Linked DNA regions of Macaca fascicularis. Each later gene encodes a partner of the first gene's protein in a complex. Links are inferred from orthologs where the notes say so. Each region holds a gene or a part of one and is shown on either strand. Other genes may lie near its edges. The genes, in order: OPRL1 and PNOC.

Evidence for each region.
Region 2: the proteins of OPRL1 (region 1) and PNOC are in contact, whole or in part, in a cryo-EM structure (PDB 8F7X), measured with the Homo sapiens proteins. The link is inferred for Macaca fascicularis from reciprocal best matches to the Homo sapiens genes OPRL1 and PNOC. Residues at the interface, in NP_000904.1 of Homo sapiens: Gln107, Asp110, Gly114, Phe115, Trp116, Val126, Ile127, Asp130, Tyr131, Met134, Gln192, Glu194, Ile198, Glu199, Cys200, Leu201, Val202, Ile219, Val279, Gln280, Val283, Gln286, Gln291, Pro292, Ser293, Val298, Leu301, Arg302, Thr305, Tyr309; in NP_006219.1 of Homo sapiens: Phe130, Gly131, Gly132, Phe133, Thr134, Gly135, Ala136, Arg137, Lys138, Ser139, Ala140, Arg141, Lys142, Leu143.

The regions. Positions count from the first base shown.
Region 1 is NC_088384.1:120,232,334-120,241,172, forward strand, and holds the end of OPRL1 (nociceptin receptor), read left to right. Parts: intron 1-458; 5' UTR 459-491; coding exon 492-724; intron 725-5,083; coding exon 5,084-5,439; intron 5,440-5,533; coding exon 5,534-6,057; 3' UTR 6,058-7,916; downstream 7,917-8,839.
Region 2 is NC_088382.1:31,488,569-31,498,848, forward strand, and holds the start of PNOC (prepronociceptin), read left to right. Parts: upstream 1-4,626; 5' UTR 4,627-4,695; intron 4,696-4,906; exon of another isoform or gene 4,907-4,957; intron 4,958-10,280.

The DNA.
Region 1 (8,839 bases):
CAGGAGGAAGGCTGGGTCCCAGGCGTTTCTGGGTGTGTCTGTCTCTTTTGTGCCTGCGTGTGCATGAGGGCAGGTTTGGACATTTCTGTGTGTCTGTGTGTGTGACGTGTGTCCCTGCATCCCTGTGCCTGTGAACACAACGAGTGGCTGTGTGTTCATGAGTCCCTGCGGGTGGACAGTGTCCTGGGGTGTAACTGCCTCCAGGCAGCCTGTATGTGAGTCTCTAAACCGAACGAGACTGTGTCCTTGCGGGTGCATGTGTGTCTTTGTGTCCTCGTGTCTCCATGTGCCCCTGCCTGTGCATGTGTGCCTGTGTGTTCTGTGTGCCCGTGTACCTCCGTGCCTGTGCCTGCCCAGTGTGGGGGTCCACGTGCCTGCTGGGCTGCACGTGCTGGGTTGTGAGGCCTCGGCTGGGCGTGTGTCTGGCACTGCAGCCACTTGTCTGTGCTCTGTCCCAGGTGCTGCACTGAGTGGATTTGCAGGGCAGTGGCATGGAGCCTCTCTTCCCCGCCCCATTCTGGGAGGTTATCTACGGCAGCCACCTTCAGGGCAACCTGTCCCTCCTCAGTCCCAACCACAGTCTGCTGCCTCCGCATCTGCTGCTCAATGCCAGTCACAGCGCCTTCCTGCCCCTCGGGCTCAAGGTCACCATCGTGGGGCTCTACCTGGCCGTGTGTGTCGGGGGGCTCCTGGGGAACTGCCTCGTCATGTACGTCATCCTCAGGTAGGCTGGGCCACGAGGTTCCTGTCTGCTGAGTCCCACACAGCTGCAGAGGGGGAAGCTGAGGCGGAGGCTGTTCTGGACGGGCCTGAGCAGGTGTTGATTTCCTGCTTCCCCCATTCAATTTGTTGGACCCTGTCCAGGAGGCAGGGTCAATCCTGAGGCCCCAGGGAGGGGAGGGGAGGGGAGGGGCTGGCCCTGGCCCACCCCATTCTGTCCCAGGTAGAGGCGTCACCACCCTGACCCCTGGTTTGAGCTGTGGACCAGGCTCTGTATCAAGCTGTCTGCTTCAATGACCTTATGAGACCCCACAGCGGCCCTGTGAGAGGCTCTTTTCAGCCCATTCCCCAGATGGGTGAAGGGAGGCGCAGGGGCTGGTGCTGGGACAGTCCTGAAACCCCTTCTCAGGTTCCAGGGCTCCTGCTTATGGCAGGTGTGTGTGGCTGAGCCCATCATCTGTTGGTGCTCTGAGATGGGAAAACTTGTGGGGGCCAAAGAGAGGGCAGCTGATAGTTGCGGTTGAGGGAGCAGTGCGGGGACAGTGTGGGAAGCAGTGCAGGGGGATAATGGAGGGCAGCCAAGGGGATAGTGTGGGGGCAGGTGGGGGGCAGTGGGGGACAGTGCGGGGGGCAGTGCGGGGGGCAGTGTGTGGGGCAGTGGGGGGCAGTGCGGGGGCAGTGGGGGGCAGTGCGGGGGCAGTGGGGGGCAGTGGGGGGACAGTGTGGGGAGCAGCGTGTGGAGCAGTGTGGGGGACCGTGCGGGGGGCAGTGCGGGGGGCAGTGTGTGGGGCAGTGGGGGGCAGTGCGGGGGCAGTGGGGGGCAGTGCGGGGGCAGTGGGGGGCAGTGGGGGGACAGTGCGGGGGGCAGTGCGGGGGACAGTGCGGGGGGCAGTGTGTGGGGCAGTAGGGGGGCAGTGCGAGGGCAGTGTGGGGGGCAGTGGGGGGGCAGTGTGGGGAGCAGTGTGGGGGGCAGTGCAGGGGGATAGTGGAGAGCAGCCAGGGGGATAGTGTGGGGGATACTGTGGGGGACAGCAGGGAGCAGCCAGGGAGATAACAGGGGGATAGCATGGCGGGATAGTGTGGGGGACAGTGGGGGGGAGCTTGGGGATAATGGGGGGATAGCATAAGGCAGATAGTGTGAGGGGGTAATGAGGGGGATAGTGGGGGGATAGCATGAGGCGGATAGTGTGGGGGAGTAGTGAGGGGGATAGTGGGGGAATAGCATGAGGCGGATAGTGTGGGGGGGTAGTGAGGGGGATAGTGGGGGGATAGCATGAGGCGGATAGTGTGGGGGAGTAGTGAGGGGGATAGTGGGGGGATAGCATAAGGCGGATAGTGTGAGGGGGTAGTGAGGGGGATAGTGGGGGGATAGCATGAGGCGGATAGTGTGGGGGGGTAGTGAGGGGGATAGTGGGGGAATAGCATGAGGCGGATAGTGTGGGGGGGTAGTGAGGGGGATAGTGGGGGGATAGCAGGGGGATAGCATTGGGGACAGCATGGGCACAGCATGGGATCAGTGTGGGGGTGAACAAGGAAACCTTCACATGGATTGTGGATTGGGCAGGTAGAAGATGGAGGTGACTTAAGCAGAAAGGGAGGGTTTTCTGGGCAGAGGAAATGACGGACCCCAAATCCATCCAGAGGAGAGAGAACTGAAGGGCCTGGGGACAGCAGGTGGGATCCTGAAGGCCCGGGTGGGGGAACTCTGTTCTTCAGGCAGTGGGGGGTTATGGGTGGTGCTTTAGCAGGAAGCTAAATGAGGTTCCTGACAGCTGGAATGAGGTTTCTTATTGGTCCAGGATATTTGCCTGGACCCAGAAAAAGGCAGTTCTGAAGACAGTGTCCAGGGCTCTAAAGCAAGTGTTCCCTCCTTATAACCTCAAAGGGTCCCAACCAGAGGTGTTATGTAGGTAGAGGCAGGACAGGGTAGTGGGGGTGTTTAAGCTGCCACCATCCCAGCCCTGTCCTCTTAGTGTCCCTGAGAAAAGCTGTTCCCCTCTGGGCCTTGTTTTTCCCATCTGGAAAGTGAGCAAGGTGGACCATGTAACCACGTGTATATGTGTGTGCGTGTGTGTGCGCGTGTGTGTGCGTGTGTGTGCGCGTGTGTGTGCGTGTGTGCGTGCGTGTGTGTGGGTGTGCGTGTGTGTGTGCGTGTGCGCGTGCGTGTGTGTGGGTGTACGCGTGCGTGCGCGCGCGTGTGTGCGCGTGCGTGTGTGCGTGTGTGTGCGCGCGTGTGTGTGGGTGCACGTGCGTGCGTGTGCGCGTGCGTGCGTGTGTGTGCGCGTGCGTGTGCGCGTGCGTGCGTGCGTGTGTGTGCGCGTGTGTGTGTGCGCATGTGTGCAGGTGATGCGTGGTCAGACGAGAGAGTGGGAAGAACAGCTGCCCCTCCCCAGAGCTGACTCCTAAGGGAGGCTCCACGGAGGTTGCTCCGTGATGTGCATGTCCCTTCGTGGCTGGCTGGCGCGTCACGGCTGAGGAGTGCGGCGGCCTGGGGCAGTCCCTGTGCTTGAGCACCTTTCCGGCTGTTACCGCTTCTCTACTGTCTTTCTCCTCTACACTGAGGTGTTCAACCTCTCAGAGGCACTTCTTGGATTAGAGCAGGCAGGGAAGGTCATGTTGCTGGGCAGAGTCCCCAGAGAGAGCGATGCTCAGGGGCTGCTGTGGCCACACTGGCCCAAGAGGCAGCATGTTGTGAGCCAGTGGGCTGGGGTGACCATCCCAGGAGTCAGAAACACTCTGTTCTGAGCCCTGCCCTGCTTTTTACCAGCTCTAAGGCCTTAAAAAAACAACATAGATCCTGTAGGCCTCAGTTTCTTCCTCTATAGAGTGGGGATCAAAGTAGCATTTTTGTAAATCTTCAATGACATAAATTCCCCCGAAGAGCTTGGCACAGGTATTTGCCATAATCATTGTCATTGTTGTTTTCTCTTTGTAATTGCGGCCTCTTTGTGCTTATTCATAATCCCTCTCTAAGAGGCAGAACTGAGCCCCATATTTCCTCGAGGCAGCTAAACTGACATAGAATAGTGTCATCTCGGGCGCTGCTGCCACTGCCAATACCGCCGCCACCACCATCATCACAGTCATCACCATCACGTGACACCATCATCACCATCACCACCACCACCACCATCACGTTCATTGTCATCATCATCACCATCATCACCATCATCATCACCACCACCACCACCACCTCCACCACCACCATCACGTTCATTGTCATCATCATCACCATCATCACCATCATCACCATCACCACCACCACCACCATTACGTTCATAATCATCACCATCATCACCATCATCACCATCATCATCACCATCACCACTATCACCACCATCACGTTCATCATCATCACCATCATCACCATCATCACCATCACCACTATCACCACCATTACATTCATCATCATCACCATCCTCTCTATCACCACCACCGTCATCACCATCATCACCATCACCATCACTACCACCACCACCATCACGTTCATCGTCATCACCATCATCATCACCATCACCACCACCACCACCATCACGTTCATCGTCATCACCATCATCATCACCATCACCACTATCACCACCATCACGTTCATCATCATCACCATCATCACCATCCTCTCTATCACCACCACCATCATCACCATCACCATCATCATCACCGTCACCACCATGATCACTACCATCATCACCACCACCACCACCATAATCCCCCCCCAAATATTACAACCATTAACTGATTTAACAAAAATTTATTAACCACCAACAACTTTCCCAGCCCTTTCCAGCACCTTTTCAGGTGCTTGGATACAATCATACCTTATTAGCATCCCTCCTGTCCATGTCACCATTTTCTGTCTCCGTTGCTAGATAGCAGTGTGGACTTGGAAGCCTTTTGGTATGTTCTTATAGATTCCGGAGCTCTCAGAAACCTCTGGCAACTGTAGGGTCAGCATTTGAGTCTGTGAAGGGTCTCTGAGGGGACTCAAAAGCAAGGAGAGCAGGCTTTTTCCCTTAGGGCTCTAACCCTTCGCTCCCGTGGAGTCTGGGGTGAGTTCTCGTACCCTACATGCCCTGACCCCTGTAAAGTAGACTCGTGTTTAAGGCTTGGAATCCTTTGGTGTGTGTCAGAGTCACTTGAAGAGCTGGTGAAGATGTCTCATGCCAGGTTCCATCCCCTGAGACTGACTCAGTGAGTCTCAGGTTGGGTCCAGGAGCTGTCACTTACCAAGCCCCCATGGGAACTCTGATGTTAAGGGACTCAGGGCCAGTGTAGCTTGCAGTGGCCAAGACGAGCCCCTTGCCCTTTGCTGCCCGGTCCAGCCGGCATAGCCAAGTGAAGCCTTTCTTCTTCCTCTACTCTGCAGGCACACCAAAATGAAGACAGCCACCAATATTTACATCTTTAACCTGGCCCTGGCAGACACTCTGGTCCTGCTGACGCTGCCCTTCCAGGGCACAGATATCCTCCTGGGCTTCTGGCCGTTTGGGAATGCCCTGTGCAAGACAGTCATTGCCATTGACTACTACAACATGTTCACCAGCACCTTCACCCTGACTGCCATGAGTGTGGATCGCTACGTAGCCATCTGCCACCCCATCCGCGCCCTCGACGTCCGCACATCCAGCAAAGCCCAGGCTGTCAATGTGGCCATCTGGGCCCTGGCCTCTGTTGTTGGTGTTCCTGTTGCCATCATGGGCTCGGCACAGGTCGAGGATGAAGGTCAGTGGGGTGTCCCCTCCTCCCCTCACCAGGCTCTCCACGGCTCCTGGGTGGCTCCTCTGGGCCCACTCTGACCCCACTTCTCTCCCTGCAGAGATCGAGTGCCTGGTGGAGATCCCTGCCCCACAGGACTACTGGGGCCCTGTGTTTGCCGTCTGCATCTTCCTCTTCTCCTTCATCGTCCCCGTGCTCATCATCTCCGTCTGCTACAGCCTCATGATCCGGAGGCTCCGCGGAGTCCGCCTGCTCTCGGGCTCCCGGGAGAAGGACCGGAACCTGCGGCGCATCACTCGGCTGGTGCTGGTGGTGGTGGCTGTGTTCGTGGGCTGCTGGACGCCTGTCCAGGTCTTTGTGCTGGTCCAAGGGCTGGGAGTGCAGCCAGGCAGCGAGACTGCCGTGGCCATTCTGCGTTTCTGCACGGCCCTGGGCTACGTCAACAGCTGCCTCAACCCCATCCTCTATGCCTTCCTGGATGAGAACTTCAAGGCCTGCTTCCGCAAGTTCTGCTGTGCCTCTGCCCTGCGCCGGGAGGTGCAGGTGTCCGACCGTGTGCGCAGCATTGCCAAAGATGTGGCCCTGGCCTGCAAGACCTCTGAGACGGTACCGCGGCCCGCGTGACTAGGCGTGGACCTGCCTATGGTGCCCGTCAGCCCACAGAGCCCATCTACGCCCAACACGGAGCTCACACAAGTCACTGCTCTCTAGGCTGACACACCCTGAGCCCTGAGCATCCAGAGCCTTGGATGGGCTTTTCCCTGTGGGCCAGGGACACTTGGTCCCAGAGGAGGACCTAGTGACATCATGGGACAGGTCAGAGCGTTAGGGCTACCTCCGTGGCCCCAGACAGACTAAAGCTGCCCGCCTGGTGCATGGCTGAGGTGACACAAAGACCTACCTGGAAGCAGCTGCCGTGCTGCTGGACGGCCGCGACTGGAGCCCGTGCCCCTCCCTGCCCGTGCTTCACGTGACTCTTGGCCTCTCTGCTGCTGTGTTGGCAGAACCCTGGGTGGGCGCACCCGGAGGAGGAGCAGCGGCTGTGTCGTCCTGTGCACCCTACGTGCTGTGTGCTGTTTGCATGGCAGGGCTCCAGCTGCCTTCAGCCCTGGGACGTCTCCTCAGGGCAGCGGGACAGACTTGGCGCTGCCCGGGAAGTCCAACAGGCAGCATTTCTTTGGGGTGGGACTTGCCCTGAGCTTGGAGCCGCCACCAGGAGGACTCGCCCGTTCTGACTCCACCTGTGCAGCCAGGGCCACCCCAGGAGAGTGTCCAGGTGGGCTGGCTGTCCCTGGCTGCAGACCCCGAGCTGGTCCTGGGCCAGCCGCACCTCTGAAGGTTTCCTGTGTGCTGTGCTGTGCAGGCCTCATCCCTGACTGAGCTTGGCTCTGGGTCCAACCCCCCTTTCCCTTCAGGAGACCCACAGGAGGCCCCGGCCCATTCCCTCCAGCAGTGCAATGAACTGTCATGCTGTGGACCGTCAACCGAGCTCTGCTTCTCGGTGTGTGGCAGGTGTCCCAGGAGGAAGACGCCGTGTGACCACATGGGCAGCCTGTTGTTCACAAAGTCGAGGCCTCGTTTTCCTGGTCTCGACTGCTGTTTGTAGCAGGGTGGGAGAGGATCCTCTGGGGGTCTCCACATCCTCCCGGGGGGTCTCCACATCCTCCCAGGGCTCCCCTCACAGCCTCTCCTTTGCTTGAAGCCGGAGGTCAGTGGCCGTGCAGTGTTTTGGGGGAGCTGTGTTGCGGGGGAAGCTGTGCGGAAGGAGAAGCCGGTGGCCACAGCGGAGTCCTGCTCTGGTGACGCCTGCTTCATTTACAAGCCTCAAGATGGCTCTGCGTAGGGCCTGAACTTGCCGCCCAGCGAGAGGATGGCTTCACAGCAGAGCCAGCATGGGGGTGGGGCTTGCCAGGGCTTGCTTGAGCCAAACTGCAAGCGCTGTACCGGCTGTGAGAACACTGTGGGGGTGGGAGGGGGTCTCTGTACCTCAGGGGATGCCCTGCTGTGGTCAACCAGAGAATCACCCTTCCTGGTCTACAGATGGCAGCTGCAGGTTGGTGACTTTGCAAATGCACTTCCTACAGACGAACTATTAAAAGACCTGCAACATTGTAAAAACTCATTTTTCCATCAAGACCTTGGCCAGGTAACCTTAGGCTCCTGCCAAGAACAGGAAGTGATGGCCGTCTCACCACAGAGCCTGGGCTGCTCCTCCAGCTCTGGGGAGTCTAGGCCGTGGGGACTGTCCCTGGGGAGGCCCCTGCTGTCTCCGTGACATCTGTGGCAGGAGTCTCTGAGAGCGGGAGCTGCCTAGCTACAGTGTTTTCTTGCCAAGGCTAAGTGTTTTGTGACTCTGTGCTGACGTAATGTGCATCTTCACGTATTTATGCATGTGGCAATCGTTACTTCCTGTGCACGCAGCCAGCCCTGGGTCTGTCTCTGGGGTAATGAAAAAGGACCCTAATAAACACCTGCTCACTGGCTGGGTATCTTCATGACAGGTGTTTCTGGCTCCTGCCACCTGGGGATTTGCCTTTGGGGTGACTTTTCTGGGATTGGCACGTGAGTGGGAGGAGGCTATGGGGTTTAGGCTGAGTTCTTGCACTTGTCCTGTGCTGCTCAACAGGCTGGGCTCTGTCCTCAGTGAAGGGTCCTCCAGGAGGCTGCAACCCTGGGGAGAGTTGAAGCCAGTTAATGGTGTGTTGGCCGGGCTGTTACCTTTTCTTCACCACACACAGTTTCTCCCTAAATAACCAATGGCTGCACCTCTCCCCTGCCCCCTGGAAAGAGATTTCCTGAGGATCCAGTGGGAGGAGGCTGCTCCCACCCAGGCCTCAGGGTTTTCTTCCCCCTATTTCATCTCAGAAGAACCCCTGCTCCTGCTCATTTTCCCTTCCTAGAGCAGATCTGAGGGGAGTTTTTGTGAAGGATGAGCAGACAGCCTCCTCTGGGGCTGGGCACACGCTTGCCGTGGACATCTGCCTCCTGGTTCCTGTTTGGCCCAGTGCAGCCCAGGCTGACCTGCAAAACAGAGCAGCTTTGGAGGGTGGGCACCGGCACACTCCAGTCCAAGCGCTTGTCTCCAGGGCATGGGCAGATGGGCAAGTTCTGTAGGGTTTTATATAGGTTTGAATGACGGACACTGTCTTATCCTGGACTGCTGTAGCAAAGCACCATAGATCCAATGGCAATAGAAACAACAGACGTTTATTTCTCACGGTTCTGGGGGCTGGGGATCAGAGATGAGGTGCAGGCACACAGTCAGGTTCTGGGAAAGACCCCAGGCCGTAGAGGGCCGTCTTCTCACTATGTCATGACATGGGTTTGAGAGCTCAAGAGCATCTGGTTCCTAAAGGCACTCATCCCTTTCAGGAGGACTCTGCCGTCATGACCTGTCATCTCCCAA
Region 2 (10,280 bases), on another chromosome or scaffold:
AGAAGCGAGGCCGCAGAAGAAATTAACCTTGCTGACACCTTGATTTCAGATTCCCAGCCTCCAGAAATGTGAGGAAATTCCCTTCTGTTGTTGAAGCCCCCCAATCTGTGGCACTGGGTTATGACAGCCCAAGCAGACTAATACACCCGCTAATCCTTCTACTTGCCTGTACTAAAGCCCAGTGGCCACTTCCCTGCCCACACAGAACGTGCAATTTGTCCTCAGTATCTTAACACATCATTCAAAAAATAAGATAAACATCACTTGAACATCACTCTCCTCTCTTGAACTTCTCTTTCACTTCCAGTCTGATCCACAATTAGCACCTTATCATGTACCCCCTAATTCTTGAATAGTCTGAGTCACTATAGCAAATGCTGTTGTGCTGGTCACCATTCATCGATCTAACTTGTCCCCTGGGCCGGCTTCTTGAGGGTGAAGATATCTTTCGTTCTCACATTGGCTATTTGCATTGAAACTGTATTCACCCAACTCTTCCTTTAAACCTAGCTCTTACTGATTACTAAAATGCAACTTGCCCTCAGTAGTTCAAAAGTCCATCCGTATTTTGATGCAAAGTTGTGAAGAAATGTGTGTGTCCCTCTATTTTTAACATTCATTGTGTTCTGACTTAAAAGTGTTTTAAAATGTGAAGAGAGTTTGCCCTCACTGAGTAAGAAGCAGCTTTTCCAGTGGGACCCTGCTAACGTGGTTACTAAGGAGACCAATTGGAGGTAGGCGCCATAATTAATCAGTAAATTCCAAGCAGTCAAATACCTGGCCGGGAAAGGCTCTTTACTCTGAGAGGGGAAAATTGGCAGGTGGGTGGAGGTGTGTTGAGCTCAACATTGGGCCCAGCTGCGGCTGCCTCCTTCCCCTGTACTTCCTCTACTGAGATATTCTGATGACAATTTTAAGAGTTTTCTCGGGAGGCCGAGACGGGCAGATCACGAGGTCAGGAGATCGAGACCATCCTGGCTAACACGGTGAAACCCCGTCTCTACTAAAAAATACAAAAAAAAAAACAAAAAAAAAACTAGCCGGGTGAGGTGGCGGGTGCCTGTAGTCCCAGCTACTCGGGAGGCTGAGGCAGGAGAATGGCGTAAACCCGGGAGGCGGAGCTTGCAGTGAGCTGAAATTCGGCTACTGCACTCCAGCCCGAGTGAGACTCCGTCTCAAAAAAAAAAAAAAAAAAAAGGTTTTCTCAATCTACCTCAAAACTTACCTGTCAGTACAGAGTGGATTCTAATATTTGTAGCCTCCCTGGTTGGGCCTCTATTGCAAAGATGCCAAGCTGGTGTGGGCAGGAGTGAACTTCCACCACCTCATAAGCAGAAGAAATAAGAATTTTATTTTATTTTATTTTAATGAGACAGGGTCTTACTCTGTTACCCAGGCTGGAGTGCAGTGGCTCAATCATGCCTCACTGCAGCCTCAACTTCCCAGGCTCAAGTGATCCTCCCTTCTCAGCCTCCCAAGTAGCTGAAACTACAGGTGCTTACCACCACACCTGGCTAGTTTTTCATATTTTATAGAGACAGGGTCTTGCTGTGTTACCCAGACTGGTCTTGAACTCCATTCTCCCACCTTGCCCTCCTAAAGTGCTGGGATTACAGGCATGAACCACCATGCCCAGCCAAGAATTTTATTAATTCCAAGTTCTTGCACGCACACACACACACACACATACACACAAAGCAGTAGAAATAAGAACATGTGACCTTTCCTTTCCAACTATTTTAATAAATGTATCCTGCCAATCAGAAAAGCAGGGGGCAGCTGGAGAAGCCCATGGCTCTCAAGGTGCCATGTCTCAGTGGCAAGGGGGAGGCCCTGAAGCCATCACAAATGCCACACAGTCTGAACCCTTTCTAGTCTACTTGTGCTTTTCTGAGGGGCAAGGTTCTTCTACTCCCCCACCCAACACTGGTTTTAAACTCCCTCCTGGGTTCATCCTGCCCTTCTCCATCGATCACAGGAGACAGCCTGCCACCACATGCAGCTTCATTCAATCCACCAAGAATATCCAGGTCATTGGGTTCAACTCTTCTATCTGGTAAATGAGGAAAGAAAAGTCCAGAGAAGCTAAGTGACTTTTCACTCTTGCTCTTTCTCTTCCTCAACTGCAAGGGAAGAAAAGCATTTAGCTGCCTGAACATCCTGGGAATGACAAGGTGCTCAAAGGCAGGTGTGTTGTTTAAGGTAATTTTCCACTGGATGTAATAGAAAACCCAACTAAATGGCTTAAATCTTAGGAAGTTAACGTTTCCAATGCCTCCAATGAATGGCTTCTGCATAGCCACCCTCTATTATCCTGGGACTTCATAGTCTCCACCCAGCCTGGCTCTGGACAGCCTTGCAACTGGCCTTAGCCAATAAATGTAGCAAAAGCAATGGACTGCCAACTCCATGCTTAGGTCTCCAGAGGTTCCATGTGCTTGTGATTGTTCCCTTGCTTGATTGTATTTGCTTGTGCTTTCACCTCAGGTTTGCCATGAGGCCATGCCAGGCTAATATGCTGAAGGGATGTGAGAGACCCATGAAGGATAAGACACGTGCAAGAGAACCAAGGTCCCTAGCTGACACCCAGCCAACCTTCTGAGTCCAACTGCAGGTGCAGAAGAGAGTCAGGCTGAGACCAGAAGAACTGCCCTGCTGAGCCTAGCCAGAATTCCCAATCTGTAGAATCATGAGTCAAATATGTGGTCTGTTGTTTTAAGCCTCTGGCCTTGATGTGGCTTGTTATGCAGCAACAGGTAACTGAATCCTGACTGACATTTGAAATAAAGGTTTGGGTTTTCTTTTAAAAAAAAGGTTAAAGTTTGGAAGTCCAACATTGATATGGCCACTCCATTAGTCATGAGGGACCCAAAATCCTTCCATCTTTATGTTCCATCATATTTACTCATTGCTTCCATCCTCAAAGTTGTCTCATCTCGTAATCCAAGATAGCTGCTAGAGCTCCAGCCATCACATTTGTGTCCCAGGCAGGATGGAGGGAGGGCAAAGAAGAGAGAGAGGCCTTTAGCGAGTTGACCCCCTTTAAAAGAGCTTTCCTGGAAGCCCCACCCACGGACCTGCAGCTTAATGCTCATTGGCAACCCTTGACCAATGGGAAATGTAGTCTTTTAGCTCAGGGCATTGATGCCTAGATTAAAATCAAGGGTACCGTTTAGTAAGGAAGAACAGGGGAATGGGGATTGAGTAGGCAGCCACCAATATCTGCCACATCATGTATGAAATCAGGATCCAGGTCTGAGACCCTGAAGTACATCAGGATGCAAAAGTGACCCCGTGTCATTCAGTGAACATGCTAGTTTCCCAAAGGGTCCATAATGTTAGCTGTGACCTGCAGTGTAAGGTTTGGGCAAAAGAGATCTAAGTGAAGAATTGTGAGTATGCTGGTCTCCTGAGCCCTTTTGCTGTGAACACAGATGGAAGGGACATTTTATTCTCAGAACCTGTTGCTCTTAACCTGAGCAGATGTTTGCTGTCTTTCTACCTATTTTCTTTTTATTGAGATGTAATTCCCAGAACATAAAATGCACCATTTTAAAGCATATAATTTGGTGGGTTTTAGTATTCTTGCTATGTTGTGCAACCATCACCACAATCTAATTCCAGAACATTACCATTACCCCAAAAAGAAACCCTATACCATTCACAGTCAGGGCAGATGCTTCCCTCAATCCTTCTCCACCCAGTCGTGGGTAGACAAGAGAGCTGGACTCACCATATGAGAGTGCTTGAGCTCCTTGGATGACACAGGTTCAAACCCTGGGATTCTGGAATATTTTAGACCCTCTTCGGAAAACTAAGGACAGGGTCATGGTGCAATTCACCTACGGTAAGGAAAGGTGGGGTCCCCAAGGATGCTAAACCCTTGAGCCTGTGCCTTCAGCCTGTGAGCTCCCTTCCTGCAGCCCACAACCTCCAGCGGCTGCAGAAGACAAGGAGGCTCTGCAGTAAGGGACAGGGAAGCTTCCAGAGCTTCTGATCCTCCAGGGCACTCGGTAGTGGCACCCTAAGGTGCAGAAGCTTTAAAAGCTCTCTGTTGTGACACCAGACACTGATATGGGATTTCTAGATCCAGGTGGTACTAATTAGCGTGAAAAGGGGGCTGAGAGGAGAGGGAGGATGCAGCACATTCATTAAGGGCCTCGTGTGTTGCAGATTCAAACAGAATCTCCTTTTTCTACTCACAACCATCCTGGGCAGTGTTAGACTCGTTTTCCAGAAGGAGGACTTGAGGTTCACAAAGAGATGTGCCTTGCTCTGACTGTACAGCCGAATTTCAGACACTTCCATCTGAGCCTTGAGTCTCAGCGCTCTCCATCGCACCATGCTGTGGGCACCTGTGGAAATGCCTCCTGACCTGGCCCAGGGCAGGTAGAGCCACCCCTTGAGTGGCCTAGTTAGGGGCAGTGACATTAGGTGGGGGCTTGGCTTAGCTCAGCCCTGGGCTCCTCCGTGCCGGTGGGAGCCTGGCGTGAGCTCCCCTGCCTTCTGCCTGCCTCCTATTCTTCACTCCTCAGGCAAAAAGGTTGCTCAAGGAGAGTCCAGGATTTGGGGTCTGCCTCGTCACTGTCACCAGGAGGCTTTCTTTCTGACTTGCCAGAGCTCCCCGTCAGTCCTCGCAGAGCCTCTGGAAGCACAGGGAAGGCAGCTGTGGGATCCTGGCTGAACAGAGTCCAGGTGAAGCAGGCTTGAGAATGGATTGATGGGGAAGTGGGGATGTCACAGGTCTGATGGCAGAGCCGGGGAAAGGGAGCAGCCAGAAGGCTTGCAGGTTCTGCTCTTTGGTTGCTGAAGGGGGTCAGTGTGTGTATGTGTCATGGAGGTGGGCAGGGAAGGGGAGGGCTGTGCGTGGGGGAGAGGATATATATGCTGGTGTGGCTGAGACAGCGGAACCGAGCCTCACATCCATCGGAGGGAGCCGGGGACTGACAGCTCTCAGGTAGGCAACTGCACGGGGCCCCCAGCCCGACCGCGACTAACTGGACTAACTGCGTGGAGCTCCGGGAGGGCAGGGCCACCGGGGTCTGGCTCCTCGGCCTCTCTCCTTTGTCCAGTGTGGATGCTGCTGGCCTCTTGCGAGATGGTTTCTTCATTCATCTCCTTTGCAGCGCTTGGATGGTGGGGAACGGGGGAGGGCTAAGGCTCTTTCTTAACCGCAGACAGATGCAGAAACAGAAAGAGGGGAACTTGGAAATGAGGAAAAGTTTTGCTTCCCCAGCTGTGGCCCCTACGTGGTTGTTGCTCTGTGTCGAAAGGAGGCTGCTGGAGGAGTGAGGTCAGGGGAGGGGCAGGCACTTGGGAGGGGGTTTGCCTTCCACGGGGCGGCCTCCAGGAAGCCCCTGGCCCCCTCATGAGGGTTTTCTCTCCGTGGCTTCCTTTCCTCTCCGATGCGGTGTGCAGGCTGCTTCTCCGCCTATCACTGAACTTCATGCCATCCAGATGGGAGTTTTTAATCCACAGGGAGCCCTTCTCCCTTCTGCCCCCAACAGAAATTGCTACAAATAATGGGGAAGCGCCAGACCTGGGGAGTGTGCTTCACCTGTGTACACACACTGCTGAGCGCCACGGCGTGTGAATTCCAGAGGGCATTTCTACGGGCGTGACCTTGGTCTCCCAGAACCTGATTCATTTAGAGGGCTCTTCTCTTGCTTGGCATCTCTCTCCCCCTGCCCATCTCCCCCACCTAAAGGTCTTTGCCCAGGTCATACAGAATACTCCGTTCATAGTCACCGCATCCCAACTCTGGAGGCTCTCTCGGCCACCTTCTTTCTTCCTCCTCTCTTTGTGCGCCTCTCTCCCTCGGTCTTGCTTCCCCAGGCTTCACTACCCAGCCCCTCCTCCCCCAATCTCGCTCTGAACATGGGCAAGTTCTGGGGGAATTTCAAGTAAGGCAGGATGATTCGGGAAATGGACTATTTAAAGCAAACTGCTTTGGACTTGAATACCCTGTTCCTGCGCTTAAACATCTGTGTTTAGCTTCCTCAAGCAGCCCATAATTGCCCCAATTATAACCAATAACATTGTTCGGCAGACTAACAAAAGATGAGCTTTGCACGGCATTCGCCAGCAAGCCCAAACCAGAGTTTTCAACATAGATGGGAAAAGTAACTGCCTGGCTTCTTATCAAAACCTCCCAAAGCAAATACTGCTCTTTTTCGCTGCTTGTGGGTGGCTACAGCCTGCACCCTCTTTTCTTCTCATTTGTAAAGTGTGGCAGAGAAATATTCTATAAGCTTCCACTGAGGCTGTGTTACCTTTAACAAAAAGGATTCGTGCTCCTTTGGGCTTGCTGAGTCTTCTGCAGAGGAGGGTCCCTGGAAAACCCATCCCCAACCATCCTCACCTCAGTAAAAGCAGCAGCTTTTATATCTCCATGTGCCACCAGTGCTGCCTGTCAAGGGTGCTGTGGTGCAGCCTCGGGTTGTTTTGAGGGCGCGGTTTTGTTGCCCACAGGGCGGCAGCCCCTGCTTTATCCGCTGAAGGCTGAGAGTACTTAGGGATTTGTAAAATGCTGGCGAGTTTGCATTGTCAATGAAGGGAGTGATTGCAGGATTAGGCTCAAACCTGTGCTCCCTGGCGCCTATGACAGGAGCTGTCACAAAGCTGTTCTGTATTCAATCAATCAGGTAGTTATCGTCTACACTCCACCAGGCAGGGAGGCTTGCAGGGGCTCTACTAGATTCAGCGGAGGTGATAATAACAGCACTTTACATTTGTACAACGATTTAGGCGCTTTCACAACTATTATCCCAGCAACAGCCCTGTGAGGTGGTGCCATTATCTCTGTGTTGCAGTTGGGGAAACTGAACCTGAGAGATTAAATGATTTATTCAGTACATGGCAGGGTCAGGACTGAGCCAAGCCATTCTGGCTCCAGTTCATCTCCCCGTTATGGTCAGGGGTGCTTGTGAACTCCTAGTGGGGTCGGGGGTAGAGGAGAGACATGACACAAACATGAGAAACAATTAGAGGACCATGCAAAGCTGGGTGTAATTCAGTCCTAAATCGCATAATCCAGAGAGCAAGTGCTAGAAGAATTTGGGAGAAGGAGCACTTCCTCCTGGGATTCCTGGGATTCTACCAAGTGGGAAGGCAGGTGGAATCTGGATGGGTCAAGAGCTTTGAAGAGGGAGGCAGCAGCCAGGTCAAACACACAAAAGGAGGGCCACGGAATTAACATTTCTTGAAACCCACTCTGCACCAGGCAGTGAGCTAAGCTTGTCTGCATGTTTATTTTGTGCTAATACGCACACGCACATATGCACACGGGTAGGAATGGGAAGTTTCAGGTGAGCGTTCTTTACTTGCACTGACATGGTTCAGCGATCCCTCATTTCCCCATCCAGCTCCACAGCTCCCAAAGCCCACGAAGGAAGCTTTGAAATCTCTTGCGTTCCGGGTCTGGGTGGAGCTACTCCTCAGATGTCTTAGGAAGGGACGGACCCTTCTCAGAAAACAGGAGCCGTCCTGACAATGAATGACTGGTAGTGGCTTGAATTGCTGGGCTATCATGAAGCAAACTGAATTTTCTAAATGCCTTTATTTAAATCCCACAATCGAACATAAAGCTTTCCATCTAATCACAAACTAGTCGTGAGATTTGGAGCACATCAATTTCAGGGACAAGCCAGTTTTCTGGGCATCTCCCTGGATAGGCTACAATTAGTTTCAGTCTCAATTTTCCATGATCCTGTGGGTTTTTTTTTTTTCCCCAAAATACTGGCAGCTGCTTCAACATTGCAGAAGCACAAAATCATCAGCCCGCGGGCCCAGCCTAGCAGGTGGAGTAGATAGCATGCCTCACCGTGCACCCAGCTCTGCCATCCCACAATGGCTCAGATCCAACCTCCCCTCTTTCCACATTGGCCTGCAATCTTCCCCCCACCCTCCATCTCCATTCATTCTTTCATTCATTTGGCCAAGGAACGGTGTGTGGAGTTCCTGATAGGAGCCGCACAGAGCAAGTGCCAGGAGCACAGGGCGGCCAGAGCTCTGGCTTCCTCCAAACTCACAACGGGCTTCAGGAAATTGAGACTTTTGTTTTTATCTTACCTTTCTTAATTTGCATTTTAGTGGATTTTATAAAGTATGTAACTTATAAATAAATTAGGAATGTGTACTCAAAATCGACTGCTAGGGGTACAAATTTAAAGAAGTTTGACTGGGCGCGGAGGCTCACACCTGTAATCCCAGCACTTTGGGAGGCCAAGGCGGGCAGATCACCAGGTCAGGAGATCGAGACCATCCTGGCTAACATGGTGAAACCCCGTCTCTACTAAAAATACAAAAAAATTAGCCGGGCGTGGTGATGGGTGCCTGTAGTCCCAGCTACTCGGGAGGCCGAGGCAGGAGAATGACGTGAACCCAGGAGGCGGAGGTTGCAGTGAGCCGAGATCGCACCACTGCATTCCAGCCTGGGCGACAGAGTGAGACTCCATCTCAAAAAAAAAAAAGAAGTTTGAAGATTGTTGTTCTAGATTCATTGCTGTTTATCTGTGTTTTCCAATATTCCAATATTTTAGAAAAGAACATTGAATGATTTTATTACATAAAAGTAAATAAAAGCTTTTCTTTCTTTCTTTCTTTTTGAGTTGGAGGGCTTGCTGTGTTGCCCAGGCTGGTCTTTTGTTGTTGTTGTTACTGTTGTTTACAGACAGGGTCTCACTCTGTCACCCAGGCTGGAGTACAGTGGCACAATCACAGCTCACTTCAGACTCAACCTCCTGGGCTCAAGCTATCCTCCTGCCTTAGCCTCCTGAATAGCTAAGACTACAGATTTGCACCACCACACGTACCTAATTTTTTTCTTTTTTTTTTTTTCTTTTTTTTGTAGAGATAGGGGTCTCACTATGTTCCCCAAGCTGGTCTCAAACTCCTGGGCTCAAGCATTCTAAGTTGCTGGGATTGCAGATGCATCCTAATACACCCAGCTAAAAGTGAATAAAAGCTTTCCAAAATCTATTTAAATTATGTTGCCAGTATATGTGGGAGTGTGGCCCAGAACCAGGAGGATGGGAGTTGAGGGCTATCTTCCCACCTGCAGCAGCCCTGAACATGTGTCTTTTGCCCCCTCCACATCCTTTCTATGGCTTTCCTCCCATGCTGCCCGGAAGCTACTTCCCCATGAAGCCTTCATCTCCTTTTCCTCTTCCCTTCTTCCCTCCCTTCTCACTTCCTGGAAAGTACAAATATCTGGCCATTCATAAAATCAAAGAATATTAACCATCTCATCTAACTGCCTCTTCTTATAGAGGGAAAAGCTGAGGCCCAGAGAGAGAAAAGATCTTGCTTAAAATCCCACAGGTAACGACAGAGCCGGACTAGAAGCCAGGACTCTTGTTTCTGAGCACAGCTCTCGCTCATTCATTTCTCCCCAGCCTAGGGAATGCTTGACCTGTGCTGGGCTGGGCAATTGTTCTTTCCTCCACCTCCTCTATGCCGTCCCCCTCTTTCCAGGTGGAAATTTAGATCAGAGGAGAGACATTTGAAGTGTAATGGTATCAGCCAGAAGAGGAAAAGAAACCAAAGCAGCCTCTCTCCATAATAGCTGGTAAATAAGCACAAGCTCTATTGTAGGAGTCTTGTCTGCAATGGGTCTAAGAAATGGGGCATGGGGAAGACCAACCTATCTTCCAATGGACATGCAGCTGGTGCGCAATGAAGGATCCCTCTGTGAACTGGGGAGAAGCAATAATAAAGAGGTTGTCATCAGCCCGGGCACAGTGGCTCATGCCTGTAATCCCAGCACCTTAGGAGGCTGAGGTGGGAGGATAATTTGAGGTCAGGAGTTCGAGACCAGTCCAACCAACATGGTGAAACCCCGTCTCTACTAAAAATACAAAAAAATTAGCCAGGCATGGTGGCGGGCACCTGTAATCCCAGCTACTCAGGAGGCTGAGGCAGGAGAATCGTTTGAACCCGGGAGGCAGAGGTTGCAGTGAGCCGAGATAGCACCACTAAACTCCAGCCTGGGCAACAGAGCAAGACTCTATCTCAAAAAAAAAAAAAAAAAAAAAAAAGGGTTGTCATCAGAGAGGGAGTGCAGAGTTCAGAACAAGAGGAAGTCCCTGAATGAGTTCTCCTACACAAAGACAGCTGCAGGGATCACTGACGGGCAGGATCAGACATGAGTCCCAGCTCTGCCACTTGAAGTTATGTCGACTCCTTAAGCCTCAATCTGCTCAACTATAAAACGGGGATGATAACAATTAGCGCAGAGCCTCGCTCATAGTGCTCTAAAGTCATAGTAATATGATTGCTAT